Drosophila melanogaster: one gene and its partners. The protein of the gene in region 3 purifies or fractionates together with the protein of the main gene of each other region. This does not show direct contact. Each region holds a gene or a part of one and is shown on either strand. Other genes may lie near its edges.

The links. Proteins that work in one complex are often made in the same cells at the same time.
Region 1: the proteins of Cnb (region 3) and mRpL48 purify together in Drosophila melanogaster (affinity purification with mass spectrometry, with the first as the bait; one large-scale study listed by BioGRID). This does not show direct contact.
Region 2: the proteins of Cnb (region 3) and Cpr47Eg purify together in Drosophila melanogaster (affinity purification with mass spectrometry, with the first as the bait; one large-scale study listed by BioGRID). This does not show direct contact.

The regions. Positions count from the first base shown.
Region 1 is NT_033779.5:1,708,692-1,712,015, forward strand, and holds mRpL48 (mitochondrial ribosomal protein L48), read left to right. Parts: upstream 1-1,770; 5' UTR 1,771-1,834; coding exon 1,835-1,846; intron 1,847-1,907; coding exon 1,908-2,006; intron 2,007-2,159; coding exon 2,160-2,594; 3' UTR 2,595-2,774; downstream 2,775-3,324. Other genes in the region: CG17660 (uncharacterized protein), read right to left, coding at 130-413, 483-641, 926-1,120, 1,187-1,272, 1,352-1,412, 1,517-1,624; frtz (fritz), read right to left, coding at 3,061-3,176, 3,237-3,324.
Region 2 is NT_033778.4:11,277,407-11,280,303, forward strand, and holds Cpr47Eg (cuticular protein 47Eg), read right to left. Parts: upstream 1,040-2,897; 5' UTR 1,001-1,039; coding exon 989-1,000; intron 921-988; coding exon 579-920; 3' UTR 551-578; downstream 1-550. Other genes in the region: CG9067 (uncharacterized protein), read right to left, coding at 1,530-1,575, 1,640-1,719, 1,785-1,872, 1,933-2,102, 2,157-2,189; Vhl (von Hippel-Lindau), read left to right, coding at 2,472-2,897. UniProt on the Drosophila melanogaster protein: Component of the larval cuticle.
Region 3 is NT_037436.4:1,945,816-1,950,827, forward strand, and holds Cnb (centrobin), read left to right. Parts: upstream 1-1,749; 5' UTR 1,750-1,970; intron 1,971-2,031; 5' UTR 2,032-2,044; coding exon 2,045-3,208; intron 3,209-3,266; coding exon 3,267-3,428; intron 3,429-3,490; coding exon 3,491-3,828; intron 3,829-3,892; coding exon 3,893-4,298; 3' UTR 4,299-4,447; downstream 4,448-5,012. Other genes in the region: mu2 (mutator 2), read right to left, coding at 1-669, 724-1,204, 1,265-1,465, 1,524-1,634; mv (mauve), read right to left, coding at 4,764-4,884, 4,946-5,012.

The DNA.
Region 1 (3,324 bases), on a different chromosome or scaffold from region 3:
GTAAATTAACGCTTAAGTGGTTCGGTCAATAGCAGCAACTGCTTTAGAGTAAGCTATAACTATAACTATAAACAGCTGCAGGCGGCAGTTTAATGGCCCTTCTGTTTCTAATCAAAAGCGCTCACTCACTTGACAATGCCAAAGCCGAGACTCATGATGATGACCAGCATCCTGGCCAGCGTGCGCTTCGCACAGGACACAAACTCGGCCACCAGTTCGGCGTGCTGAACTGCAACACCCTTGTTCGTCAGCGTTTGGTATTCGGCGTAGAAGAAGGCCTTCTCTAGCATTCCCAGCAGTATGACGCCACCGATCCAGAATTGAATTCTCAAAAGATCCCGCCATTGCGCGAAAGAAACAAACAGCCAAATAATTCCAAATATCACGTAAACAATGCACATGATCAGATAGAACTGTGGGAAAATAAACATATACATGATTATGTATAAACAAAGTCATTTAGAAACACACTCGACCCCTACCGGCAGGAATGGCCAATCTATGGCCGAGATGAAGCCGTGTGGGCCCAGGAACTCTATGTGCACCACGGCACTGAACTGCGCGGATGGGCCCGCCGCGATGTTAACTTCGATTTCGTAAATGCCATCCTCCTTGACGCTCGCAATTGGGTTCGTTGTGGGCTATAAGGAAACGGAAGTGGTTCAATTACTGCGTTATCTCAGTGTTCCTGCTTCATTATACATATATAAGAAAACCTGATACCGAGTAGACCATTCCATTCAATAAAATGGCACAAATGCCTGTAAATGTTTCAAGCTGGCTCTATAAACAGTATGCCCCACCTATCTAGGGAATACCCTGTTTAAAGAGAAACGATAAGCTGATAAGGAAAAAGCCGAAAATGCTTTGCTGGCCCGTGGTAATTGCTGTGCTTCTACTTATCGTTGATATATGTCGCATTTACCGAAAGTGGGTGCTTGTGCTCCAGCATTGGATGCTTTGGCTCCGGTGTTGGGATCGCTGATCCTTCGACCACCTTGTCCTTGTTTATCGCCAGGACGATGAGTCCGTTGCAGGGATATGTCCTGGTGATCTCGGTGATGACGTTATTGATGGTGGCGTTCTTCTGCAGGGTAGCATTCTGGGCGATGGCCTGCAGCTGTTTGGGGATACAAGATTGATGGGATTAAATGGTCACTGAGCCATATGGAAACGTTGTACTCACCGTGCGGTCATCAAAGATGCAGGGGTGCTCCGTCAGCCGGAACGTAATGGTCAGGTTCGATTCCACATTGGAAGTGCAGCCCTTAACTGGAACCATTGAAACAGGTGTGGAAGAAAGGGGTAAGTCGGAGGCATTCGTCACGCGTTTTCCGCCGCCTGTACTTACTCTGCGCGTAGATTTTTGTGTTGGCCAGCAGCGGACGCTGCTCCCGGATGCTGGGCAAGTCCTGTGTGGGAGAGAAGAGGACAAACCAGTTGTTACGTAGCCGGAAAAGGATTAATTCTAATTCCCCTATTTGTTTGGGGCTGTGGTGGTGGTGCACATATTTACCGTGGTCACCAGCACGTCCACCATGCCCGGATCCGATTTCCCGGCCGTGCTCGCCGGGCCAAGTAGCAAGGCCAACGCAACCACCAACAGCGTGGCCGATCCCTGCATTTCGAGTTGTGTGTGCGTACAATGGGCTTAAGTAAATACAAATATTATTTCCTCTTCTACTCGTCCGAACTTATCGGGCCTATCGTTCTTCGATAACACTTGCCGAGCCTATCTGACGCTTGAGCCAGTGTGACCATGGAGCCGGCAACAGTGTGGCTGCACGCCATCAGCTGGTGATATAACCTGAATTGGAGAATTAAAAACAGCAAAATGCTACGCAGGGTAAATAGCTGAAAATATCTATTAAATTATCTATTACAATTTCATTTTCCCACTGTGCTAGATACTGCCAAGTGTGCGGCTGGCGCTGCAGGTGCCCAAAGCAACCACAACAGCCGTGAGGAGCACCAGTGGAAGTGTTTACGAACCGGATTACCTGGAGGTGGGTCCTCAACTGAGAAGGAAGGATCTTAACCCCTTTTTAAATATTACTTGCTTTGAGCATAGTAGCATAATCTTGTAGACAGATTTCAATCAGATCAGACTAGATGAGCAATTATTTTGGTGGTCAGTAACCATTGTTCTCCGTTTGCAGTCCCTCAAGCCGAAATTCCCGCAGTACGAGAGCCTGAATGTGCAGATCAAGGGCTACGACTACCCGCAGCTGGAGAGCTACCAGAGGTTTCTGCACGGATTGGCCGAGTACCTGGACTTGGACGTCTCCGACTGCTACGCCCTCCCTCCGCAAAAGACCACGGTGCAGCGACTGCGGCCCAACTCCACGGTCATCGAATCGGAGTACAAGCTGACCACCTACGAGCGCAACCTGCAGCTGAACAATGTGGATGCGCCAGTCTATCCGCAGTTCTTGCGCCTGGCCCAGGCGGCGCTGCCCGAGGGTGTGAGCTTGCAGGTGCAGGAGTACACCGACGACTGCGAGGAGCGGCGCTACGTGCCCGACAAGGAGCTGCTCGACCTGAAGGACGAGCTGGAGCGCATGGGCGGACCCACCACCACCAGGAAGAAGTAGGCGGCGCCTCCGATTTGGCAAACATTTAATGCTTAGCTTTAATGAGTAACCTGTGTAAAGAGTATAGAGAACCTATGAGTAAAACTTTCCTATTTAAAGCTTTGCACTAACTGGGACGGCAATAGTTTAGCCGCCGTTTACAGAAGTTAATATTCTAATACAATTTCACGTGTCTCTTTTATTTTTGATCTGTCCTTTAGCTTGGTTCAACAGCGACTGACTGCCGCGCTCTCTGCAGAGTGGCGAGTCGATTAGTCGATAAGTTTCTCGATAATATTTGTATGTTAAGGATGGGTGTATGAGTGTATAAGCTTATGACTAGATTGGCTATGTATAATTAGGTATGTATGACTAAGAGTAAAGGAAGAGGGTAGAAGGAGCAGCCTACTACAATAGTTACAAACGATTGGAAGACGCAGCGCTTAACCGTTGTGTGGTGTACGCCTGGGAATTGCACTATGAATTATTAGACCACGCCGAAGTGGACCACCTTGATGGACGACGAGGAGGAGGAGGAGTTGCCGCCCTTGCTGCTGCTCTTGGGTTCTTCCTCGCGTCGTCGGATGGGCGGCTTAGTCACATCTGCGAAGAAATGACACGGTCAATGGGGCAAGGTTATTGGTGAACTCAACAAATACCCACTGGTCGTAATGGGGTTGAAATCCTTTAGATACTCGTCGTTCGGATGACAGAGCGGCAGGCTGTCTGCGAGCTCCTTTTTAGGATTTGT
Region 2 (2,897 bases), on a different chromosome or scaffold from region 3:
AGACCAAAAGCCTAACATTTGCATCGCAAATTATGACAACAAAGAGCCTGATTATCCCATCGCGATCACGTGACTAGATAGGGATTGCTAAATGTCTTCAAACAGAAAAAAAATAACTATACCCCTTTTCATTATTTTGATATGATCTGCATAGAATAAAGTCTAATATATGGAATTTCTTATTCTGAAATATGCAATGGGAACTAGTCTACTTCTATTTCAAAACCGCAAAACCAGGTCCGGTGTATATGGATATGGTTTAAAAACCGGTAAAAAACGTGATTACGTAACAGTGATCCTAAAGTAACAGCTCCTAAGTGATCCTAAATCGAAAGTGAAAACTGAACGACCCCGAGTTCAGGGGCAGCATGGCGTTTGGGTACAATGTTCATCTGTCAGACCCATACATATTACGTACTAATATAATTCATCCGTCTGGTAGACCCTGACCAACAAGTTTCTGTCCGCTAATACGATGCGTATATATGTTTGTCTACTCGGTTTAAGAAGCGACAGTCCTTTTGGGAAGAAATTAAAAGTCTAGGAAAGTAAAGTTCAACACATTTATTTAACATTATTTATTGACTTGGGGGGTGGGCGGCGATGTACTCCAGAGAACGCTGGATGGCCTCTGGAATTGGTGGTGGGGTGGGCAGAGGAGGGTTGGCAGACACCACCTGGTAACCGTTGGCATCGGCGATATATTGGATGGACACTGGCACATTTTCGGGAGATGTCCACGACTGGCTTCCCTTCACCACCCACTCTTCGCCGTTAAGGTCACCCTTCTGTTGCACATTGACAGAGTTGTCCAGCTCAACAGCGTAAGCAAAGCCGTCAACATTCACTTGCTGCTCGGCACGGAGAACATTGGCATCTTCGTTGGCGAGGGCGACGGCCAACAGGCAGGCGAAAGCAATCTACAAGGATTGTAAATAACAAATCAGCTAGAATCATTAAAGGATCAATTTGCGATAAAGCCACTTACGAAGAACTTCATGTTGATTGTTGAAAGACTTGAGAAGGCTAACTGATATCGAACTGGAACTTCTGCCTGCTTTTTATATGATACTGATGCTCAGCTTACCTCTGCCGGTGGCGCCCAAGTTCAAGTCTAGAGACGCGTAGGATTTGATTTCATTAATTATGCATTAGATAAGACAAAATACATGTTTATGTGTGCCTCGTTATTGCCGTTCAGTTAAAGTTCGCATTGAATCCCATAATAATGCCCGAAACAGACGGAAGACGAGTTTGACGCGGAGACATTAACTAACTATGTGTCAACTAGCAGACACATTGTAAAGATATAATTAATTCTCGAATTATTTTTGTCAAAAATGTCGAATTAGCATAATATTTGGCTACGGCTAGCCAGCCAACGACCGGTTTGCGTATCTCCGGTGCGTATCTCTCTTGAGTCTAGCTTGGAGCGGGCACTTGGCCAGGCCACCTTGACATCCCTCCTAGAAAGACGTATGCATTTGATAAATAATTCGCTTTATTATTCGTTCAGTATTAATCTACAGCTAGGCAGTGCCGCTCATCAGTTTCTGGACAGCGCGATCGAACTTCCTGCAGATATAAAAGTAACGTATTAAGAGCAACTTATATATTCTTTAAGGAGAAGCCCGCTTACTTTGAAGTCAGCGATTCGCCGGGAATGTAAAAGGGATTGCAGATGGCATCGGTGTAGAGCAAGTGGAGATTTCGGAAGATCTGGAAGATACAGAGGGTAGGAGGTATTTGGGGCTTTCATTTAGATAGTTAGATTGGATACCCACTGCTCGAACTTCGTTTTCCCGAAGGGCAACGTTGCTGGAGTCGATGACCACTATGAATTTCACCCGAGTGTTGGTCACAAAGCCGTATCTGTAATGAAATCAACCACCAATCAGTTGCAAATTCACCAGCATAACTACACCCAAGTACATTTTGTGGTTCTCTGTCGAGTAGAGCAGTCCCAGGTACAGCTCCTTGGACTCCGGAGCACCCTTGCCAATCAGGCACTTCTCCTCCACGACGTCTAAGGCGGCGTTAACATGATATTGCAATTCCAGTTCCTGCTCCATATCGGATGTGGTCAGGTACAGGGGGGCGTTCTGTGGGGAATTTGTCATGCAATTAATTGTATTCAAATGAAAAATAAAACTCACATCCTTGCCAATAACTGCTATGCAAAATGCCATATTTTGTTATTTCTTGGTGTTTATTTGTTTACTTTTCGCGAGAGGCGGAGGCAAATCAGCTGATTTACCCCTTATCGATAAGACATTCATCGAAAGTGTGGCCAGCTGCAGTGACACGCAGCAGGAAAAATGTTACCGTAACTGATAAGAAGTGAATTTTATCTATACTTGTTGTTAGCTTGTTGTGATTTGATTCAATCCAATTCCCACGGCTTGTGCAAACGTAAAACAACGAAAATTGATTTGGCAGCCATTGCAGATCGGCTTAGCACCCTGCTGGAGATGGCGCTCCAAATAGCGCAGAACAACCGCGACGGCCAGCAGCTGGTGGGCGCTGATCAGGGAAAGGTGGAGGTGTACGTGCTGTTTGCAAACACCACCTATCGCACCCTGGATCTGTACTGGGTGTGCGAGCGGGAGCGGGAGAACATGTACCTTACCCTCAAGCCCTTCGAGGAGGTGCGGGTGAACACGTTCACCACACACAGCTGGCTGTTCCGGGATTACTACACGGGCGAACGGATGCACGTACGCTCGCAGAGGATCTTTCAGCCGATTCGGGTGCGGGTACCCAAGAGCCAGCAGAGTCCGGATCAGCTGGTTGACGTACGCAGCGAAGTGCTGATCCACTTTCCGATGAGATCGCTGCGCGAAAACTGCCTCTGGCTGGTCGCCCGCTGGCTGATCCGGACGAGCAACGCGCCACGG
Region 3 (5,012 bases):
TCTCATTATTTTCTGGTGAAGCCATGTTTGCTTGTGGGATTCCTAAGTTAAATGCCTGAGTTTCTATAAAATCTTGGTTGGAAGCATCATTAGCTGTAGAGGGTTTAGGTGAATCAACTTTTTGTGGCGGTGCCAAGTTAAATGCCTGTGTCGCTATGAGATCTTGATTGGCTTCATTTTCTTGTGGTGCCTGCGGACGTCCTAAGTTAAACGCCTGAGTAGCCACGAAGTCTTGGTTGTTTTGCCCATTGTCTTCCTCGTCACTTTCCAACAATTTATGTCGTGGAAATCGTTGAGTGGCTATCATATCTTGATTCTTTTCCTGACTATTCGTGTCAGGAGTGGCAGTGGGGGTCTCAATCGTCGCCACAACCAGCTGTTTAACTCCGCCAAACTGCGGTGTGGCGGTATTTGTATTGTCCGCAGGACGAACGAACGGATCTGGACTGCTGGAGCCATCGCGCCTCCTATCCCCCCCCATGATCAGGTCAAATAGATCGGGTGTGCAGATATTTCTATCTACGGACGGAGCGGTCAAATCGGGAGTAATGCAGGCATCGCCACGCGGCAATATATCATCCGCTTTGGTGCTACTCAGAGCACAGCATTTGGAATTGCTAGCCGACCAGTTCAAGGCACTCATTTCCATGTCGGTGGTGTCCAGTTGATCTAAGAAGAAAGCGCACATTATTGAAAGTTATCAGTTTCAATGGATGCACATACCCCGCTTAGTATCCTGATTTTCCAGACCTTCAATTGGTGCTGTTGGCGGCGGAAGAGGCAGCAGAACATCGCAGAGTACCTGTGAGGTATCGAAGTCATCGATGGCATCCTCATTATAATCCTGGGTGCACATGCGTATAATGCTGCCCTGAGATGATTCCTCATCGCTGTCTATCGTCGGACCTGGCTTATCAACTACGGGAATAACCGGGGGTTTAAACACTGGTGGTTCAGGTGGAAGATCCGCAAGCATATCCTGCGTTTCGGGTATCATGAAGTCATCGCCCAGCGACACTCTTTGTCCGGTCGAAGGCCTTTCGCATAACACCGCTTGGGTCTCGGGTATAAATAAGCTATCTGCCGTTGTGTTGACTGATGTGTTGGCGGATGGAGGCTGTGTTTCCGGAACATCCATGCTGTCCAAGGTTGTGTTGTTTAATCCGTTCTTCAGGCATTCCCCGAATCCGCTACTGTCGTGGACCTGAACGAAGGGTAAGCATTAAGTTATGCATCCTGTAAGAATGGTATTTGGTGCCCATACCTCATCGTGATCTTCTCCAAACTCTAGCCTGGCCTCCACATTGCCAAAGCGGAGTTTCACCTTGCCGGCCACGGCGTTCTCCATGCCGATGTCCACCACGGTCTCCTCCTGGTCGTTCACAAAGATCTTGCCCACCAGGGCAGCCAGGCGCACCACACCTCGGCGCAGTATGCAGGCTGTGGCGTGGGCCAGCTCCATTGACTGCCCATTGAGGATAGGAGTTATTAAAGGGGAAATGTTTAAGTAAGGGCCAATTTACCTCATCGGCGATGCTTATTTCCAGGCCCTTCTGCCTCCCAATGCGGTAAATGGTATCCGCTTTCAGAAGAATGGCCGGCAAACCGCCAAAAAACAGGCTTACATCTGCCATCCTGGCGGCAGTTCCTTCAAAACTGAAGGACGAAAAAAAAAAACAAGACAATAAATGGAAACAACAAACGCACTGAACGGTCACACTTGAAATGGGCGCCAAAAACAGGCGATATATACGGTAGTGTTAATTACAACAGATATGCCAAAAGGCAAAATAAGACTAACAACGTATATTATTTTTAAAATTATATAGTGCCTTGTGAAGACTAGAATATCGAGCTTTAGTTTTTGTTTTGACACACTGAATAGTGATATACCGATAGTCCATTGTTTTCGATAATCCTGCATTGCCACGTGCACCTGGCAACCCTGTGCATCACCATGGCAATCGGTGGTTAGTTTCACTTTTGTTTTGAAACAACAATTATTGTACTATAAGCATACTATTAATACAGTTAACCATGAGGCATGAGTGATACCGATACGGACGACACCGATCTGCTGCTCCTGATACCACCGAACTTCTGCGCGGAGGACAAAATGAGCGCATGCGCGGCGGCAGATGCGTTGGCCATGCCCCCGCCCCCTCCCCCGGCGACCACAAGTGCAGCGTACCAGTTCCTACATCCCAGCAAGAAATCGGAGCTGAATAGCATCAATTCCCGGCTGCAGAACATCGCACTGGATGCGGAGGAGCCTCCCTCGGACATTTCCACCATATCCACGAATACTGTAAGGAACGCTGGAAGGCCAAGTAGGGAGCTCCACGGCATGGTGCACTCCACGCCGAAGAGTGGGTCCGTTGAGCCCCTCCGCCATCGACCACTGGACGACAACATTCTGCTCGAAATCGACCACTACCTAGACGACAATAATGCGCACCGTTGGCAGAGGCACGATCACCACCTGCATCACCGCAGCGACGATCATCTGAGGAACGAGCGGGCGGGGAAAGAGGGTCATCCGGGAACCTCGTCTCTGCCCAGCATGAGGCTGGCCTCATCATCCTCCGGCGCCGTTTCTGTCGAAGCAGCCAGGGTCGATCGAAGCAGCCTGAATGAGAACAAGATCATAAGTCTGAGCGAGCTCTGGGGCAAGAGCAGCTTGACCAAAACTGTACTCGACAACAACTCGCCCAACCGACCACTGTGCAGCTCTTCCCTAAAAGAGGAACAACTCAGAAGGCAGCATCTGGAGAAAATGGTGCACACACTGCAGTCGCATCTTTTGGAGTACCAGCAGCGAATCTCAGTGGCCATCGAGGTGGATCGTTCGAAGGATGCTGCTCTCACCGAGGCAGAGCAAACAGTTCAAAGTCTCAACTACGAGGTTCAGCACCTGCGGGACGCTGTCCACCGGCTGGAAGCGGACAGGGGCGAATCCCAGAGCCGGTTTGATGCACTGCAGAACGAGTTGTCGCAGGCGGTCAACTTGGCCACCAGGTTTCAGGAAAAGAATGATAAACTCGAAAGGGAGTTGGACCATTGCAGGCAAGACGCCAAGCAATGGGAAGAAAGACTGGAGCAACTGGAAATGCAACTCAACAGCAGCAAAAGAGCGGAGGAGCTGTCACATGCCGAGCTGAATAAGCTAAGGGATAAGTTTGCCAAGGTAGACTACCAACAAGAAAAGGTAATTTAAAAATAAGATTTCAACCACGGCCACTTTAACCACATTTCTTATATATAAGCTAAAAGCGCGGATAGAGGAACTGGAGAAGGAAAATAACACGCTGACCAATCAAAAGGAAATGCTGCAAGAATATCATCAGAAGCAGAAAGCAAGAGCGGATTCCTTGGAGAGCCATCGTAAATCCCTACAAGAAACTCTGGCGAACCTAACTGAAACTGAGGTTATTTAAAAATAAATACAAAAAAAAAAAGAACTCAATAATAAATGATTGTTGTTTTGCAGACCAATCTCAAGAAGAAGCTAGATATACAGCAGAAATCCCTAAAGCAATACTACCAACAGCAAATGGAAAATGTTGTGGCCAAGAAGATGCAGGAGTTCCAGGACCAACTGGACAAGAATGAGGAGCATTTAAAGAACGAAGCTCGGGAGCGTGAACGACTCATAGCCGAGCGGGCAGTAAAGCAGCTTGAAATGATCAATGAGAAAAACAACCAGGAATTGAATCTCATCCAGGAAAAGCACAACGAGGAGGTGGAGCTGTACCGCCTTCAACTAGCGAATGCCTCGAAGAAGATCGATGAAATGGATCTCAAGCTCAGCTGTTACAAAACAAAGCGGTAAGATATGAGAGCCTTATTTGTTTTCTGGTTTAAATAGAAATGGTTTTTTTTTCCATTCCAGTGCTGATATTGCGGAGAAACTGCATGGGGTAATGGAGGCCCAGTGGCAGCAGGCCCTTGCTATCCTCACCACTCCTAGTCAAAACTCCATTATCCAATCCAGTGACACTGAAGCCAGTGAATCTCCGGAGCTAAATAATGCACGCATGTATCCAGAAACGCCCAAATCGAGCAAATCGCAGCGCAGCAACAACACTGAGAAGAATAACCTGGATGTGGTGGGCAAACGGGATCCCCCCTCGCCGATGGACAAGCTGCAGGCCTACATTGAACTGCTGCTCAGCAAGTCGCCCAGTGATTTCGACAGGCTCGACGAGATCTTGGCCATGACATCCAAACAGGGTAGCAAACAAAGCAAACCAAAGAGCGGAAGTGGCAACAGTAAGCCTCCACCTTGGAAGTGCTGACAACGAGAGATGCTTTCGACAAGTAATATTCTATCTAGTAATACCTGTAGTTTTTTAAGAATGACTGCCTCTTTGAATGGCCGCTACAATGGACATTGTAGTTGTATATTTTTCTATGGAATTCTGAAAGTAAATAGTTTAGTTTTTGCAAAATATGATTGTTTATTTGATAATATCAACAATTGAAGGCAGCGTGGCATTTGTATGCAGCACGGGAAAAACAAAGGTGAAAATTTTAAATGTAATAATAATATAAAGTTTTGGTACAAAAGGTGTATTTTACAGCTCTATGAGACCTAAGCCTAGGAATCTTGTGATATATTAATTTTGTGGCTGTCGCCAGCGAATGTTGTATTTTATATCTTTTAAAAGGATTTATTCTTTGATTCAGCTGTTTCTTAGATCGTTTATGTGTCTGTCATTGATATGCTTTGAGTTGAATTATTGAGTATTTTCCCATTAACATTATTTGTAGACGATTTGAGGGAATTTCGGGGCATTTCCATAGAGCCCCTCTGATTCCCAGACTTGGATATGGGACTCTCGCGTTAGCACCACCAAATGCTGATGGGTTGAGTAGCAAATGCTGCAAGTTAAGCAGGGATTAGATTGTATTTTATTCGAATATGGAGCCACTTCTCTCTTACCTACGAATGGGCGATGTACCCGTGGTCAGCTCACTGACGAAGCTCAGGTTCCAGCTGGACCAGAAGC